4 linked regions of the Mus musculus genome follow. The protein of the gene in region 4 purifies or fractionates together with the protein of the main gene of each other region. This does not show direct contact. Links are inferred from orthologs where the notes say so. Each region holds a gene or a part of one and is shown on either strand. Other genes may lie near its edges. The genes, in order: Ap1m1, Ap2b1, Ap1g2 and Ap1s2.

The links.
Region 1: the proteins of Ap1s2 (region 4) and Ap1m1 fractionate together in Homo sapiens (co-fractionation; 6 studies listed by BioGRID and IntAct, counting the BioPlex papers as one, with this or other methods). This does not show direct contact. The link is inferred for Mus musculus from reciprocal best matches to the Homo sapiens genes AP1S2 and AP1M1.
Region 2: the proteins of Ap1s2 (region 4) and Ap2b1 purify together in Homo sapiens (affinity purification with mass spectrometry; 3 studies listed by BioGRID and IntAct, counting the BioPlex papers as one, with this or other methods). This does not show direct contact. The link is inferred for Mus musculus from reciprocal best matches to the Homo sapiens genes AP1S2 and AP2B1.
Region 3: the proteins of Ap1s2 (region 4) and Ap1g2 purify together in Homo sapiens (affinity purification with mass spectrometry; 3 studies listed by BioGRID and IntAct, counting the BioPlex papers as one, with this or other methods). This does not show direct contact. The link is inferred for Mus musculus from reciprocal best matches to the Homo sapiens genes AP1S2 and AP1G2.

Annotation. Positions count from the first base shown.
Region 1 is NC_000074.6:72,252,839-72,257,476, reverse strand, and holds the end of Ap1m1 (AP-1 complex subunit mu-1), read right to left. Parts: coding exon 4,500-4,638; intron 4,269-4,499; coding exon 4,197-4,268; intron 4,003-4,196; coding exon 3,844-4,002; intron 1,781-3,843; coding exon 1,655-1,780; intron 1,371-1,654; coding exon 1,295-1,370; intron 743-1,294; coding exon 720-742; 3' UTR 91-719; downstream 1-90. UniProt on the Homo sapiens protein: Subunit of clathrin-associated adaptor protein complex 1 that plays a role in protein sorting in the trans-Golgi network (TGN) and endosomes.
Region 2 is NC_000077.6:83,396,158-83,400,795, reverse strand, and holds part of Ap2b1 (AP-2 complex subunit beta), read right to left. Parts: exon of another isoform or gene 4,026-4,638; intron 3,042-4,025; coding exon 2,887-3,041; intron 1-2,886. UniProt on the Homo sapiens protein: Component of the adaptor protein complex 2 (AP-2). Adaptor protein complexes function in protein transport via transport vesicles in different membrane traffic pathways.
Region 3 is NC_000080.6:55,097,554-55,101,321, reverse strand, and holds the end of Ap1g2 (AP-1 complex subunit gamma-like 2), read left to right. Parts: intron 1-146; coding exon 147-251; intron 252-544; coding exon 545-671; intron 672-752; coding exon 753-903; intron 904-1,456; coding exon 1,457-1,620; intron 1,621-1,983; coding exon 1,984-2,082; intron 2,083-2,160; coding exon 2,161-2,262; 3' UTR 2,263-2,487; downstream 2,488-3,768.
Region 4 is NC_000086.7:163,906,853-163,912,222, forward strand, and holds the start of Ap1s2 (AP-1 complex subunit sigma-2), read left to right. Parts: upstream 1-2,164; 5' UTR 2,165-2,421; exon of another isoform or gene 2,422-2,446; intron 2,447-2,558; exon of another isoform or gene 2,559-2,795; intron 2,796-4,476; coding exon 4,477-4,655; intron 4,656-5,370. UniProt on the Homo sapiens protein: Subunit of clathrin-associated adaptor protein complex 1 that plays a role in protein sorting in the late-Golgi/trans-Golgi network (TGN) and/or endosomes.

The sequences.
Region 1 (4,638 bases), on a different chromosome or scaffold from region 4:
CTAGGCCTGCTTTGATGCAAGGGAAGTCAACGGGTCATACAGGGTCCCTATGTGGGGCCTGAACCAACAGCACACAGAGAGAAGACAGGCAGCAGATGTAACAAATGGATTTTAATATAACTGTCACACACACACATGGGTCCAGGACAACGAGGCCTTGTACAGTGAGGGTAGCCTGTGCCTGCCCAGGAATTTTAGGGCAAAGGCTGAGGCCATGTGCCCTTCTGAGAAAACACTGATGTGGTCAAGGGCTGGCAAGGGAGGCACAGCCGGCCCAGGCAGAGCAACTATCCGGCATACAGACCAGCATGGATAGGGGACAGCTGCCCTCATTAAGTGCAGCATGGCAGCTGCACAGGACACTTGAAGAAAGGTGACAGGACAGCCACAGATGACAATGACAATGACCAACATGCTCAGCAAAATGGCAACAGAAGGGAGGCTTCGGAGGTGGGCAGGGATGGCGTCTACAGGGTGGTGGGTGGCCAGTCATGAGGCACCAGGAGCACAGCTCCAGCTGGCTTGTCCCTGGGGGAGGCTGGCAGGCCCTTCCTTCCCACCCTGGATCAGAATGGGACCAGGGAAGGGGTTCTGTGTGAGTCCACTCAGGCTTGAGGAGAGGGTGGCTGCATGTCCAGGGCCACCCTCTAGCTTCAGTTTTGGTGAGTGTGGCAGGTGTGCCCTGAGGCTAGGTGGGCTGGGCTGGTGGCAGAGGCCTCTCACTGGGTCCGGAGCTGATAATCTAAAAACAGAACATTCACCTTCAGCTCCACACAGACACCCAGGGCACCCACCCTCAGCTCCATACAGACACCCAGGGCACCCACCCTCAGCTCCACACAGACACCCAGAGCACCCACCCTCAGCTCCACATGGTCACCCAGGGCACCCACCCTCAGCTCCACATGGTCACCCAGGGCACCCACCCTCAGCTCCACACAGACACCCAGGGCACCCACCCTCAGCTCCACACAGACACCCAGGGCACCCACCCTCAGCTCCACACAGACACCCAGGGCACCCACCCTCAGCTCCACACAGACACCCAGAGCACCCACCCTCAGCTCCACATGGTCACCCAGGGCACCCACCCTCAGCTCCACATGGTCACCCAGGGCACCCACCCTCAGCTCCACATGGTCACCCAGGGCACTCACCCTCAGATCCACACAGACACCCAGGGCACTCACCCTCAGCTCCACACAGACACCCAGAGCACCCACCCTCAGCTCCACATAGGAAGATACAGTCTAGAAAGACCTCTGTAGGTCCTGCCAGTCAGGCAGCCACTTACCTCCGTTCTGTGTGATATATCGTACCCAGGGCAGGGCCTGGTACCCACTCTTCTCAATGATTTTCAGGTAGCGCACCTGGACACAAGGACCTTGAGTGTGCTGCACCCCCACCAGCACCCCTCATCCAAAAGGCAAGGCCAAGGGGGCAGGCCTGACATTGTATGAGGGGCTGTCAGAGGCAGCCAAGACCCAGGCTTGGTAACCTTGAGCCTTTCAGGGGAATAATATGCTCCCCTCATCCACACAGTTTGAGGGGCTCCAAGGAAATAGGCCCTATGTCAGGATGGGGGTTTGGAGGTTCTGTTGTGACTTTGGGCTCAAGTGTGGGGTTCAGGCAGTCAGACCTAACACATTCATACCTGGATGCCAGAGGTAGTGAAATAGGGGATCTCAAACTTGACGCTGATGGGGGGCTTTCCCTCCTTGTCTTCAGCTTCCACACTGGGAAGGCCAAAGTGGGCCCGCATCAGGTACTCCTTGCCACCCTGGGGGCCGATGTAGGAGGTAGTTAGGTGGCTGCCCAGCCCACAACCAATGTGCTGTCTCTCAGGCTAGCTCATGGCTCCCAGGAGCCAAAGCAGGACAGACAGGGTGTGAAGTGGCTTTACCAGCTCCTAGGGAGACGGATAGGTGGCTGTGGAGCCAGACTGTCCAGACAGGTCCACAAGGAAAGCACGGGAGCACACTGGGGAGAGTGGTGGGTCCTCCTGCACAGCCCCAAGGGGACTGTGAACAGGGAGAGGGAGGACACTGAAGTGTGGGCAGGTGCAGGTTTCCAGGAGTCCAGCAATAACTTGGAGGTGGTGTGAGAGTGGGACCAGTCAGGTAGCTGAGACACTTGCCCTGCTCTGGCCAGGTAGCACATCAGGCCTGGGCTTGGCTGTCCCCTCTGTCTGGCACCCCAACTCTGTTATACCCACGACACGTGGCCTTTGGTTTCCTGAGCTCACACTTAGGGGCAGCAGGAGTGGCTGTGACTAGGACCATGCTTAGGAGCTGGGGTGCAGCAGGACAGAGCTTCCATAGCCTAACTCCCCTTTATCAGCTCCCATCCATAAAGGATGCCATGACATCTGCATGGGAGCTGGAGCAAACAGCCTTCTGACTCCTGGTGCCTAACAACAAAGTAAGGGGAAATGGAAAGAGAAGACCTGCTCACAGGAAACACAAGAGTAAGCAGGGCCTAGCAATCTCAGCATTCAGGGCAGGAGGAAGGTGGCAAGTTTAAGGCCAGCCTGGGATACAAGAGTTTGAGGTCACTCTGGGCTACAGAATGAGTTGCAGACCACTGACACTATCCAGGGAGACCCTGTTTCAAACAAAGTCACTACAAAATAAAAATACAAAACAACTTCTATGTGAAAACAGAAGTTGTAGAAAATGGTGTTGCATGTTACACTGTAGGTTTCATGGGTACAGATTTAGGGTGGAGCTGGAAGAAATGTTTATCTGCATCAACACTAATGTAAAAATTACCAGTGAGTGGACTGAACTTAAAGGAGGGAGTGTGACTGGGCTGGGGACTGGGTCAGTGGCTGCAGTATTGCTTTGGGTGCACAGTCACAAATCAAAGACCAAGGAAACATGAGGACAGATACCAGAGCACGCCTCTAACCATAGCACTGGGGAGGCAGAGGCAGGTGGATCTCTGTGAGTTTGAGGCCAGCCTGGTCTAAACAGTGCTACATAGTAAGACCCAACCTCAAAGACAAAGACAAAAATGTGATGGACAAGAATCCAGAACTGTTAAGCACCTCTGGCAGGAATGACACTGTGCCACTGCTACACAAAACACCAAGGCAGAGCCTCAAACAATTCTAACAATTCTAATGGCAAATCATTCTCTTGTGGGTGTATGCCTGAGAACAGGAAGCAGGGTATGGAGGAGAGCCCTGTGCACTAATATCCACTGCAGCATAACTTGGGTGCACCAAGAGTGCCTATCAGTGAAAAAGGAAGGGGCATGGTGTGGAGTACTACCTGGCCTTAAAAAGGACTGCAGCAATATGTAGGACACTGATGAGCTTTGCCACTGTGCCATGTGACAAAAGGCTGGGAAAGTGCAATAGTGGTCACCAGGGCCAGGCAGCATCTACCCTGAGTTTGGCCATCCTTCCCACCTATAATCCCCAACTCTGGGAGGCCCTTAAGTCAGTGTGGACAGTAGGAGAGTCTACCATGCTTGGGGTACCTTGGGATCATCTCCAGTACACAGAAAGGGTAGAAAGATGAAGGCAGCCCTGGCTCTCACTATTTCTTCTCTGGTGAGGACAAAGATAAGGGTGGAGGTGCACCAGGGAATCCTACTGTATGCGGTCCTCTGCGCACTGTGGCTGTGCTGCAGCACCAAGTGAAAGCTCTCCTGGGATGGATCTATAGCCAGCTCTCCCCTAGTCCTGTAGGGTACAGAGAGGGGCTGCAGTGTTCCTGGGACCAGGATGCCACTAAGCAGGACTGCCCCTCACTGAAAGGAAACACCTTTCCCAAGGTGGCACAGGGATGGGTCTTGGGAAGATATTTTGGGGTACCTGGCAAATATGGGGCTCACCGGAAAGGACTTGACGGACCACACGATCTCACTGTTTTCAGGGACCCACTTGACACTCCCCACTGTAGTCTTGAACTTGGGTGAATCAGCATCGTTGGGGACTGGTATATGGATCTCTACATTGTTGGCTGTTGACCGCCTCTTGAACTGGCTCTTGGCCTGCAAGGAGGCCCCAGGCAGAGGCTCTGGATGATGCAAGGAAGGGAGTCTGGCCACCCCCAGCCACCTTACCAGGGCCACACAGTCTCTGCCTGGTAGTGGATTCCCATTACCCACCAAAGATTCTGACTATTCCAGGCACTGCCCACGCCTGACTTGGGCCTCCAAGGTGCCCACCCTCTCCTCTCACCGACCTTGACCATGTACTCAATGCGGCTGTGGGAATGCTTCTCAATCACGGACTCAATCCAGATCAAAGGCTTCACCTGTGGGTGCGGAGAAGGCACTCACACCATGTCTCATGCTACTGAGGGAAAACTGAGGCCAGACAAGGCCCCATTCTTCCAGGAGACCACTGTGTATGCCAGTAGAGGGTGATGACCATGGTACAGCCAGTGGTGGTCAAGGTTTCAGCCCACATAGGGAGCTGGGAGGCAGGTGGCCAGAGGATGTGGGAGGATTGGTGTTGAACTTGCCTGGGAATTTGCTACACTCACATGGGTGTTGAGGCGGTAGGACATGAGTTCAAACTCTCCGTCGGGTGGGATGAAGGAGATAGTGCGGTCGTTCTCAAAACGTGACAGCCGCACACACTGGTGGAATTTCACATCCTCCAGCTCCACTGACTTGCTCTTC
Region 2 (4,638 bases), on a different chromosome or scaffold from region 4:
TTTTCTGTAACATTCTCAAAATGATGTGATTGTAGGAGAACCAATGAGTGCTTGCCAGGGCTAGGTTTCCATTCCAGCACCTAGGAGGCAGAAGCAGCTCAATCTCGGAGTTTGAGGCCAGCCTGGACTATATAATGAATTCTAGGCCAGCTAGGGCTACATGGTGAAACCTTGTCTCAAAACCAAACAAACATACACCTGACTCCAGAAAACAACAACAACAACAACAACAATAAAAACAAAACAAAAAGGCTAAAGCAAACTATAAAGAAAACCGGGTCACTCTGTCCTACCCTAAGAGAGCATGTAATGTACAGTCTTTTTTTTTTTACTTTAATTTTTTATTAGATATTTTCTTCATTTACATTTCAAATGCTATCCTAAAGTCCCCTATACCCTCCTCCCGTATAGTCTTATTTATGTCTGTAGTTATAGTTATTTTCTAGTCTTGAAAGTAGATGTGTAAGATAGTAGCAATACGAAAAACTGGGTTAAAAGAAAAAGTCCCATTAAAAATCTTGTAAGTACTCTCAAAAAGTGTATTTTCTAAGTATTAGTTATATCTAAGAGAATGAACAGTCCATCTCAGACAATGTGCATCAGGACCCATTAATAACATCTGAACCTTAAACATCATTTGCCTATTAATATGCCCCCCCATCCCACATGATTTTGAACGAATCATTAATCATTTTCACACTTTTGATACTTGGGGTTGGACCTAGGGCAGGGCCAGGCTGACAGGCGTTCTGCCATCGAGTGATACTCCACAGCCCGATTTTTACTTTTTCCTTTGAGGCTGAGTCTCTGAGTTGCCCAGTCTGGCCTTAAATTTTCCATCTTCCTGCCTGAGCATCCCATACAGGTGGGATCACAGGTCTGTGTCACTAGGGTCAGGTCTCATTAATCATTTTTTTTTAAAAAAAAGAAATTATATTTATTTCATTTATTTGTGTGGGTATGTGTCACGATACTTGTCCTAGTTAGAGGAAAGCTGGAGGGAGCCAATTCTCTTCTTTATCAGTTTATCAGGCTTGGTGGCAAGTAACTTTGTCTACTGCGCCATCCCTCCAATCTTCTTAACCACAATTCCCTGGTCTACAACCTGGGACTAATATGCTTCCTTAACTTAGCAAAGATGGGACAATGTATACACTAATGAATGGTGAGTTTAAAAGAAACATGCACAGCTGTCTAGAAAAGTAACTAAATGGAAGTATTTTACCAGACCTGGATTTCTTAGTGAGACCCTCTCTCTCCTTTTAGCAAGAGTACAGAGGGTTTTCCTGTTCTGGGCAACTTAAGATAAATGACAGAGTAGATTTTTACTCTCTGAAAAAGACAAGACATGAGTCTGGCTTGGTGGTACAAGCCTTTAGTCCCAGAACTCATTTTAATTTCAGCATTTGGGAGGCTGAGGCAAATGGATTTTTGTTTGACACCTGCCTGGTTGAAAGAATTATTCTAGGATGGCCAGGGCTACATTTTGAGACCCTGTTTCAGAAACCTGAAACAGAAACAAAAAAGTAGCAGAGATAGAAGGGAGGGAAATCTCACAGATGCTTCCTGGGAAAGCCCAAGTTGACTGGACTCAGCAGCAGCATACACTTGGCATTCCAGCGTACGGCAGGGAGAATACTAAGAATTTCTGTTTGGGTGACACTACTTCTTTGATGCATGACAGCATAAACAACAGCTGTCAACACTAAGGAATGGGGTCACAGAATAAAAGGCTCTCTGAGTCTGATTTTTCACCTTCCTCAGAACCAGTCACTATTGAATCTTCTTCCCCTGCCAACGCCTTCAAACAACCTAAAACGAGAATAAGGTACTTCCCCATCTCAAAGCTTGTTGGGAGATCACATTTGACACCAGCACAGAGCTCAGGGCCTCGGGGACCAGTCTTTACTGCCGAGCAAAGCAGTGGTTTTTCCTGTGCAAAGCCATGCAATAACTTTTACTTCCGTTCAGAGAGATACTGGAGGAGGTTTCCCAATCTACAGGGGAAACCTATAGGGTGGAGACTTCTCTCCCTGTTAAGGAAACCATGGTTAAGACTGATTAATTAGTGACTTGTTCAAATCATGGCTTGGTGGTAGTAGTTGTGTATAGGTCTAGACATCCTTAAGGCCAAGAGCTCTGAGAGTAGACAAGGTCCAGTGTAATCAGGTGGGAAATGCTTTTTGTTTTTGTCTTTTGGTTGGAGTGTGCTGGGCACTTTGCTCTATCCTTTCTATCACGTCCCGTCCCCCTGAGACAGGTCTCTCACGGAACCTGGTGAGGCTGTCTGATCAGCAAGCTCCAGTGATCCTCTTGCCTCCTCTGAGTGCAACGCTGGGCTTCCAGCATGTGTGGTCATGCCTGCTTTTATGTGGGTGCTAAGGGTCTGAACCCAGGCCCTTCTGTTTGTACAGCAAGCACCCTTACCATCTCTCAGCCCCAGAAACACTTTTTTTTTTGAGGCAGGGTCTCAACTATGAAGTTCTGGCTAGCCTCCAATCCACAGCTATCCACCTTTCTTTTCCTAGGACTGCAGGTGTGATCATGATGCCAGCTAGAAACACTCCTCTTAACAGTTTACTCTAGTACCAAATGCATGCCAAGGAGGAGCCATCTCTGTGTGCCAGCGAAGCAATGTAACTGTCAGAGGCAGGTGGTCTACCCTGGTCTGTCCCCAGTACCATGCCTTGTAAGTCAGAAGACCACAGTGAGGAGAGAAGACATTTCATGATTGCAACACAGGACTCCCTTACTGAGTGCTTGTTTTTTGGTATCTTGGCCAGAAGTACTTCTCCAGGTCTCTGTAGTACACTAAAGAATTTTTAAATGTATGGGCTCTTACCTCTGGATTCTAACCCATCTCACACATTCTGGGAAAGGCCTTACCGTATAATTGGGGTTTCCTGGCTGGATCCGCAGCTCTGCCAAAATCCAAATGCCATTAGTGAGCTTCAGGGACTGGTACAGCATGTCCTGCCCTTCCACGTTCCTCTTGGCAATAGTGTAAACATTGTTGTTTTGCAACTTGCTGGAAACTGTGTCTAGAAATAGAGAGCCGAGACTTAAGCTTTCAGTTAAAGTCTCCAACGCACACATTCCTCTCTGCCCCTCTTGTGAACTTCACATCTCCTCGAGTTCCCGATCAATTCCAGCACATTCACATGTCCAGAGCTTCTTCTGATACAGGCAGGCAAAATGAAGGGCCTGCCCATCACGGTATCAAACAGAAAACAGGAAGGTGCACTAACACTGGAGTTTAAGAGTTACCTAGGGAGGGTCGACAATAGATAGACAGGCCTCAGGTTTACTAAGAACAAACTAAGTTCTCGGGTTAATTACTTTTCCCACTGCAGTAACAAAGTTCCCTGGCCAAAGTGACATAAAAACCGAAGGGTCATTTTGGCTTACAGTCCTGGGGTACAGCCCATCATGGTGGAAATCATGGCAGCAGGAGCGAGGGGCAGCTGTTCAACACTGCATCCAGATAGCACAAGACAAATTCTAGTGTTAACTTGTTTTCCCTTGTTCCTTCAGGTCAGGACTCCACCCAAGGAAAGGAGCCACACAGAGTTCAGGTGGGTCTTTCCCACTTCAATGAACGAATCCAGATAATCCCACACAGGGACCCCCAGAGGCTAACCTCATTTAGATAATCGCTCACAGGTGTGTCTAGAGGCTTGCCTTCTAGGTTCTAGACCCTGTCAAATTGACAATAGTAAGCATCACAATGGTAGACAGGCACAAATACTCTGATGGGGACAAAGGTGGATTTGTGGGAGTCCCCATTCAGACTCTAGTTGATTCTCATTTCTGGAACACTGCTCCCCATCCAGGAAAGTTACACTGATGATCAGATGTGCACTCCCCAAGTCACTACTACTGCACTGTGAGCCACATGGGCCTCGGTTTCACAGCTTTAGAAAAGGACAGAGCTGCACAGGTCTTTTCAAGTCAGATTTATTAAACTGGATACTTAAATTTCATTTTTAAAGCAGGCAAACAATTTTTTTTAGATGCTAGAGGAAACCATGCTTTCCAACACACAAGGAAACAAATTACTTTAATGGAAGACACAGAGAGGCCTGAAGCTATGTGAAATGACTGTTGTATGCTCAGATCCCAGCTGCCATGCGGGTGATGCCTCTGCACTCCCGAGCTCACGACAACAACAGTTTGGTGCTCCTGTGACTATATCATCAAGAGACACAATGCTCTAGAGTTAATTAAAGGTCATGTCTTTGTCTGAGATGCTGCAGTGTCAGAAACAAACTTTGAAGAGTAGCGATGATATGCCAGGTGTGTTAGTGTCTTTAATCTCAGTACTCGGCAGGGGCAGGGGCAGACAGAGCAGGAGGGATCTCTGAGTTTGTGGCCAGCCTGGTCTACAAAATGAGTTTCAGGACACCCAGGGCTACACAGAGAAACCCTGTCTTAAGGAGGAAAAAAAAAAAAAAGGCCTAGAGATGATGATAAACACAGCTTCTTTGCTAGCTCCTTATTAATTAGCTTCAGATGAGAACTCAAATTACTCAGCCTAATCCAGAATTAAACTCTCACAAAAGTATTATATTCTGGTGTGGTCTCTAGGAAAGGAAACATGATGGCCTTCACCCCATGGCAAGATCTCTGCCCAGGAAA
Region 3 (3,768 bases), on a different chromosome or scaffold from region 4:
TCTCCCCGCCTAGCCTTAGGAATCTGCTTTTGAGCCACATATATCAGGGGTCTCCTTACTCTGTGAGGCCTCTCCCTTCCCTCTCATCCTGGAGTGGAAGAGCAGGCCGACCGCCACTGCCTCTCACAGGCCACACGGTGGCCCAGTCGTATTCGCCAGGTGGTGTCCATCTACGGGAGCTGTGTGGACTTAGAGCTGCAACAGCGGGCTGTGGAGTATAACACACTCTTCCAGAAGTACGACCACATGAGGTGTGTCCTGAGGCCTGCAGGTAGAACTTCAGACTCTCTACTCCCAGGGCGCTCTTCAGAGCCTCTCTTGGGGGGGGGGGGGGGAACGACTCACCTCCCATCCATAGTGGATGGCAAGCTGGTTTCCCATCCTCATCTGTTGTCGGAAGACCAGCAACTGGCTTCCTGTCTTAGGAAGCCAGGACGGCACTTGTGACCCTGTGTGCCACCGCCCTGTGTCCTTGGTCTTCTTCCCAAATGCTTCTGTGAGAGCATGTGCTTCATACAGGAACCCTTGCGTTCCATCCCTTCAGAGCCGCCATCCTAGAAAAGATGCCTCTTGTAGAGCGTGGTGACCCCCACGTTAAAGAGGGAGGGAAGGAGAAGCAAACGGAAGCCCAGCCCTTGGAAGTGACAGCCCCTGCCCCCACAGAACCCCAGGTGAGGAGGTGGGAGGACCTGGGTAGAGAAGACTTATGTGGGTGTTCACACCCTGCCGTGACCTCCTGCCCTTTTTCCCAGGCCACCAAACTCTTAGATCTACTGGATCTCCTGGGTGACACTTCAGAGCCTCTCTCTTCTGGGCATGCCCAGCATCTTCCTCCTCAGACTCCTTCCCCAGGGGAAGCCTTAATTCATCTCCTTGACCTTCCCTGTACACCGCCACCCCCAGGTAGGCCTCAGCTAAGGGAGAAACATTATAGAAGTGGGGTGGAAATGGGTCTTTTCTCTCTCTGAGCCAAGGATAGGGACACCCATCTCAGTAGGCAAAGGTCCATGGCGGTCCCATCTTTAATGTACTTGTACTTCTCACCCCAGTCTGCAGGCCTGTTTCCACTCCAGCCTGCACTATCACTTCCCACTGCCCACTCTATTGGTCTCTTCAACTCCCCAAAGCCTTCCACCTCAAACCCTTAACATTTCACGTTCTTTACCCAACACCAAAAGGACTGCTACTAGCGGATACTACTCACTCTTCAGCTAAATGCCATCTGTCTACCCTCTCCTGTTTAACTTGGTTCATCACGGCCATGATTATCTTGTATTTCGTTCGATGTTTCTCTTTCCCCAACTAGATGGCCAGCCCAAGCCTTAGCTTGTCTACTTTTATCATTAGATCCGGGGCAGCTGCAGGGTCAAGACTGGCTCACTCCATTTTTACTGGCTGAGTGGCTGGGTGTTTTATCTTAAGCCCATGCACTGAGCTGCCTCTCTCCCTTCTCCAGCTCCCATCCCCAGTGTCAGAGTGTTTGAGCGTGAGGGCCTACAGCTGGATCTTTCTTTCATGCGGCCCTTGGAGACCCCTGCTTTGCTCTTAGTCACTGCCACCACCACCAACTCCTCAAAGGAGGATGTTACCCACTTCGTTTGCCAGGCAGCTGTGCCCAAGGTTTGAAAACAGTGGGGTTTAGCCAGGTGTGATAGTTGGTGCCTGTAATTGTAGAACTTAGAAACCTGAGGCAGGGGGACTCATTGTTTGAGGCCAACCTGCCTTAACATAGTGACTTTGAAGCCAATTTGAGCTACACTGTTTCAATAAAAGAAAAAAAAAAAAATAGCATTCAGAGGTAGCCAGGGAATTTCAGGAGAAGAGGCCAGAAAGAAATGGAGGAGGGTGGGAGGCAGAGTATAATGGGAAAGGAGTGATTGTGTTATTGGGGTGTTATCCAAAAATGTTTGGGAGCCACGGGATGTGGAGGACTGCCTGAGCCCAGGGGCCTTACAATGCTCTGCCCAAATCTCCCATGTTCAGAGTTTCCAGCTGCAGTTACAGGCCCCCAGTGGGAACACAATTCCAGCTCAGGGTGGTCTTCCCATCACCCAGGTCTTCAGAATCCTCAATCCTAACCAGGTGAGTTGTCAGACGCTGCGGGTAAGAGGGACGAAGCAATAGGAGACCTGACCCTGGTCTCTGCTTGCCTGTTTTTAGGCACCTTTGCGACTTAAGCTGCGCCTCACCTACAACCACTCTGGCCAGCCAGTACAGGAGATCTTTGAGGTGGATAACTTGCCTGTGGAGACGTGGCAGTAACCGACTGTGGTCAGTGTCTGGCCTGGGTGTCTCCAGGCTCCTGGTGTTCAAGGAACGGAAATAAAGACCCACGTAAATGGCGAAGTAAACTTTATTTAAAGGCAAACTGAGCGTACAAATTAGAAGTGCTCTGTAAACGGGTGATGACCACAGTCTTAAGAGCCCAGGGCAGTCACCCGGTGTTCCTTTAATAAAGTCTCAGGGAACGAAGGTGTTAGCTGTGAAGTGGCATAATTTGAGTGATTCTCTGTTTTCATTGACAGGCTTGGATTCTGTCAGCCTTTCTTCTCTGTGCGTAACCCTTCCCATGATGCAGCTGACTTTAATCATAAGCTAACTCATTCTGCACAGGCATAGGACGGTCCATAGGGAGTTCTCCTCAAAAGGTCACCCAAAGATCACAGGTTACCCCAAACCCGTTTAGGCCTAATCAGCTCCCTACTTTGGGGTATGTCCTAAAGTGTTTGAATAAAACTGTCCACAGAAGGGGAGTTTTGATGGCTGCTGGGGAAAGAGAGATTTACTGTCTGAAGTGGGCTCTAAGTGCTACTCGATACAGGCGGGGTCCTGGCTGCACTGTTAGAAGAATGTGTGTGCATGGTGCGTGCAGCTGAGGGTCCTAAGATGCCAAGTGGCAGTGAGATGAGAGGTGTGCATAGCTCAAACCAAGTGGAGTTCCAGGCTGCTAACCTGTTCCCTAAGCTTGCCTGCCTCATAACTGCCTCGGCTCCTCTCAAATCTTTCTGCACCCTCAGCTTGGGACACAACCCTGAGGGCCACCAGCAGGTGGCACTCAGACCCTATATTTGTCAAGGCAATATAGAGAGCCTGCCTCCTCCCCAACAAATAAAGTCTATGAAGCGTGAGAAGGGAAGAGAGGCCTGTTTTGACCTAGTTGAGAGAAAAAAAAATGTGTTAAGAGCAAGGGTGGTGCCTTCTCCACAGGAAGTATGACTTCCTGAAACCCTAGGAACCGGTCTCAACAATGACCATTTTCTTTCTACCCCTCTCTGGGTTGGAGAGCAAATGTTCTCTCTAAACTGCCACACTGAGCACTCTACCCTCCCGGCACAGCAGCAGGCCCTGAATTTCTAGATCCCTTAAGGAGTTCCTAACCTTTTCCCCACCTTCTTGCTCTTCCCTACACCCCAGGGCAGGGAAATCCCCGCTGTTTCCCCTCATCTCTAACTCAGCTGTAAGGCGGCTTCAGAGCCTCTGGCAGAATCAATGGCATCGACCAAGGGAGGGGGGGGTGGCAAGGGATTTTCCTGTGCTTAACTACTGATCACGGCTAAGTGGAAATCCTATAAACACGAGCGGAAATCAATGGAGGCTGCTTAGCGGCCAGGGGAGAGGGGCGGCCCACAGATTGCATCTGACGGATGAGGGAAGCAGCCAGGGAGGGCTCCAGGAAGGATAGCTCAGAGTGGGCGAAAGACCAGGCAGAGCTGGAGGGGAAAGTGGCTCCGTTGTAAGGGAAAGGAGCACCGTGGGTCCGGATGTGAA
Region 4 (5,370 bases):
ACAAAGATGGCAGCCGTGCTTCCTTTTGTCTTTCACAGTGAATGCACCATTAGCACTTTGAACTAAGACTGGGGAATAAACCATCTATAATCTACTGAAAAAGACCATCTGCTTCTATAAATTTTGTTCTCATATACTTGCCAAAGGAAGAGAACGTATTAACAAAATAATGGGCCCTGCTCTGTTAATTGTAGGTTGTTTGCAGTTTTGCTGTTGGTATTAGAATTTAATAAGCCATTCCTTCTGCTAAATTAATAAGCAGCCAAGATTATGTAATAGCTGCTTTCAGCTGCTAATTATTTTCCCATAATTCCTTCTCTACCCCCCAGCCCTCCCCACTTTCTCTCTCTCTCTTTTTGGCTAGGAACACAGAAATGAGACTGCCAATTTGCAAGTCTCCCATAATTTCCAGAGCTACTAACCAACATTAGTAACACATCCAATGAGTTTAAACTTGGGAGGTGGTGACTTAGGCACCCTGAGGACGTAGGTGTTTTGAACACAAAAAGGAAAGGCAGTGTTTAGAATTAGAAGGCCGTTTTTCATTGTGTAATATCATTGCTATCTTTGAACTGGCTAATGACATCTGTTTCTTGTGAGAAAGTACATTGGCATTTTAGAGGCATGTTTCAACAATAAACAGAGAAATTTGGGCCGGGGACCTAAAGACCTACCAAAAGCCAATTCTGCTTTCTATTGACCACTTTAATACTCCAGTATATTTCACTCACACACGTTTGTAGGAAACTTTCCAAGCAGCATAGTATTGCTGAAAAGGGGAAAGTATTCTAGTTTTATTTTTGCTAAACAAAAGCATATACAAAATGACCTCAAATTCCTAACGTATAAGATCCTATTACATTGGCACTCTAAGACATAAAAATGAACATTGATGTCTAATAAGGGGGTTCTTTACATTAAGTAAACACAGCTTCGCTAAAAGTGTAGCATCTTTTTTTTCTTACATTAGTTAATTTACAATTCCTGTTTAGTAATCTCTGCAAAGAAAGGCATGCCCAATGAATACTCTGTTCTGGCTTTTGTTGTAGGGACAGAGGTGACAGTAGTAATGAGTAGCATTTGACAGGGGAAATCCATGGCTGTCCAAGCAAGGTCACCTAATCCTGTGGATCTCCATTCCCCTTATCTATAAAAGATGAGTTGAACTCGATGATCCATCCATTCCACCATTCAAATAAAACACAGACATCCATCATACGCCCAGACTAAGTCAACATTTCAGCTTTTTAACAAGTCTATCATCATTTTATAATTTTATTAGACAACTCACATTTATCAGTAGTGTTAAAACCAGGCAGAGAACTAGGTTGTTAAACGAATAAAATCCAAGGTGCGCTAAACAGAAGCATGTGGGTAAAAGAGGAATTCGTTGTTCCGGGGCTTTAGGGTGAGGCTTTATAGATGTGACATTAGAGGAAGGACATGCCAAGGCGAGCGAGTCATCAGCCAAGGCTAAACTGGAACCCGGGATGGGGAAGGTGCGGGCGAGACCGTGAGAAGGAAGCGGGATCTAAAAGGACTAAGCGCTGTCTGGATTTTTTTTTTTTTTTTTTTTTTTTTTTTTTTTTTTTTGCAGCAGAGAGCGGACTACAACTCCTCCAGTCCGCCGCACTGCTGGGGGAAGCAAGCCCTGAAGAGAGGCTCTAGCAAAGCTTGTGGCGAGAAATGTCTAGGTTAGCTGGGGCTGGAAAGGAGGGGCCTCCCTGCAAACGCGGGCACGAGCACCGCGACAGCGCTGACTTGTTTTCCCCTGAGTTGCAGCACTCCTGTCCTTGGCTCCCACCATCATCGCCGACTGTCACACCTCCCCGCCCAACCCTCTGGAGACCCACGGAGTCACTGGCGCTCGGAATCAGCCCCTTTGCGGTGCGGACCATCCTTTAGCCTGCACCACGGGGTCAGCTAAGGGCGCCGCGGAGCCCCATCACCCTGCCACGGAAGGAGCCAGGACAGCCGCGCGCGCCGCGTCCCGGCAGCACAGCCCGAAGTACGCAAGCGCGCTGGCCACAGCCTAGGCCGCTTCCGGGTCACGTGGCCAGACTTCCGGCCCTCGCCACGCCTACCCTGCGGTTATTTGACCAATCGGCTTCTCGTTCTTGCCGGCAACAGCGCTCACTCTAGAGGCGGTTGGCGCCCCCTCGGCAGCTTGGCGCGCGGTCTCCGGTCCGCCTCTCCGCTCGCCGCAGCCCGGGCTCCTCCTCCGTCCAGCCTCCAGGGCGGGATCTGTCGGCTCGCCCTACCCTCGCAGCCTAAGCCTGCCCTCCACCAGACGGGTCCCCTCCCCGCGGCACCACGGCTTCCCTTCCACAGCACGGCGACGGGGGCTTCCCCTCAGCAGCTGCCGGCGCCTCAGTCTCCGCGGCCAGCCCAGCTCCGCCGCGTCCGCGGCCCGCCGCCGCCGTAAGTGCTGAAGGAGTCCGCTGAGCTGGCAGGGATGGAAAGAGGGAGTGATGGCTGGGACGCGCCCCCCGCCGCCCCGTGAGCGCCCCGACGACCCCACCCCGAGTCCTCCCGGGGCGCCGCGCCCCGAAACTCACTTCTGCCGGCGGTAGCGCTCCGCTCTCCACTCGGCAGCGCGCCGGTGATGCAGGGGAACCGGTCCTAGGTTCCGCGGGGACCCCGCGGCACCTGTGGTTCGCTGATCGCCTCAAGTTTGACGGGGCGTTTTGGGGAGGGGCTGGGGTGACGGCGACCGAGGACTTGGCGCCCCTGGCGGGCCAGCGGATGCCATTGTCTCTGCTCCACTCCTTGCCGGTCACCTCGCCCAGCTTTGGGTACTGATGGAGTGTAGTCCCGGGAGGAGGGGAGGCGTCCGAGACTGCGGGACCCCAGGGATGCTGGACCAGAGCCCACTCCAAGGCTGAGCTCATTGTTGGGTTTTTTGTTTTGTTTTGTTTTGTTTTTGTTTTAATACCAATCTGGAGAAATTGTTGTCCCGGGATTTGCGGCAAAAATCAAAGCGAGGGAAAAGGAATACTTGTGCCGCGGGTTTCGTCCCATGTTAGCACATCATTTGTTTTGAGGAAAATGCTTGGTTTCTTCGTCCTCCAAAGTGGTAGGGCGGATACTGGACCCCGCTACAGATAGCCTAGAGCACACCCCAGTCATTAGCAAACCATCTCTCCTGGTCAAGATTTAAGAAAACCGATCGGTCCCTTCCCCAAGTTCTGATAACGGTTTGCGTTCAATGTCCAGTTCTTTCGATGCCGTTCTTTTCGATGCCGCTGTCTTCAGGACTTACAAGGGTGGCACTTTGCTCTCAATGAATTATATAGTGTTGTGTGGGGTAATAGCCAATTTTAACTTTATTAAAGTTAAATGGCTACGCCATAAATATCCGGATGTTTTCTTGATGCCTTTTTGGGATATTGCGAGGTGGATTTCCTGTCTAGAGCCAATTTGATTTTATATTAGTTACGTAAATTCCTCCTCCGGGTGTTCAAATTTAAGGTTGTGTGGTGAATATTAAGAATCGCCCTTGGGTGGATCTTACTTGCACTGTCACTGTTAAAGGAACTTAAAAAGGTTAAAACAAAACACCTATCCAAATTTTACCTTCAAATTAGCTTTACAATACAGCTCGCTTTTACCAGTTGAATTATAAAATACATGCCTTAGAAAATATAGACTGACCAACAGACATGCAAATACTAAGTAAATCAATGCAAATTAGCTTCGGTATAAAACATACTCAAATCCAGCATAACATTCAAATGTGGTTTTTGTTTTAAAAGAAGTATTCTGTGCACTGTCCCAAAAATTTGTTGTTTTAAATTAAATATCTTGTGTCTCGATATGAGTAACTTTGAATAAAGCTTTTTAAGCGTGTATTCTCTTTTACATACATTAACTCAGTTCTTGAGTGCTTGTTTGTGTTGGATTTTATGAAATGCAAACATAAAAATCGGGCTTTTGTCTTTAAAATGTGTTGTTTGTGAGATCTTTTTGATTAATATTGTGATTTTGCTTAAAATATGCTAGCATAAATTGAAGGGAATGCTTTAAATGACAAGCAGTTTTTCTGCAAGAAATTCAGCCTGGAACTAGAATAGCCTCAGGGTGAAAAATAGTAGGTCTCCTCTTCCTAGACATGTAAATCAACATCCTAAATCAACTACCTGATGTCTGCATTTGCCTTTAATGCACATAGAGTGGTGGAGTGTGGAACAGGTAGAAAATTGTTTCTTGAAATTATCAGAGTTTTTGTTCTTCAAAATTTTCACTCCAGCTTACCACCTGTTCTGATTTCCACACACTCTTCCACACTTACCTACATATAGTAAGATCTTTCCAATAGAATTTCCTGCTATTATAACCTGCGTAGAAATGTTGATGGCTTATTGATCATGTGTCAGGGTGTTTACTGTACCCCCAAAGCAGCTCTGAAACATCATGTGATCTTGACTGTTGATCCTAGGTAATTGTATGTAATTTTGATTTTATTTATTTTAACAGATGCAGTTTATGTTGCTTTTTAGTCGCCAGGGAAAGCTTCGACTGCAGAAATGGTATGTCCCACTGTCAGACAAAGAAAAGAAGAAGATCACAAGAGAACTTGTTCAAACCGTTTTAGCACGGAAACCCAAGATGTGCAGCTTCCTTGAGTGGAGAGATCTGAAGATTGTTTATAAAAGGTATTTTTGTTTTTTTTTATCAGAAAGGTAAAATACTGTCAAATATTAGGGTTATTTCTAATGAGGAAATTGCAGACTTTTATGTCAATAAACAAAGATTAATAAATATTAAATGAAATAAATTTAAAGGAAAACTTTCCATTTAAAAATAAGTAACTGCTATTTTGATTGCTTGCCTTAGGCTGAAGCAATAGCAGCAGGGAATCATTTTTAAATTAATTATATAAAAAAGACAGACAATTATTCCTGCTTAATCACCATTTTAGAAAAATTTAGTAAATTCATTACTGGGGTAAATAGGGTATTTTAAATTTTTAAGTACTTCGCTAAATTCTTGCATGCATAGATAACAGTGTAATAATTCCTTGTTATAACAAATCTATAAAATAATTACTGATATTTGGTATTTCTTTTCTGACTTTTAGAATTAATCTTATTCATAAAGATCCTGGACACATAGACCATCTCAGTATACAGATGTTTAAATACTTTGTGTATATATAGAATGTCTTTCCTAGTAGCATTTATTAATTTAAAATAGACTTTTTGCTGTGAAGGAGTTATGTTTAGATATGATAATTTTACCAAGGATAGATTTTTTTTAAAGTGATGTTTCAAAATAACTTGTAAAAAAATAGCTTTTTTACACAGTTTTTTCTTTAATGCTACATATCTTTATTTTGTTGGTAACCAAAAGTTTTCTAAGCAGTTTAAA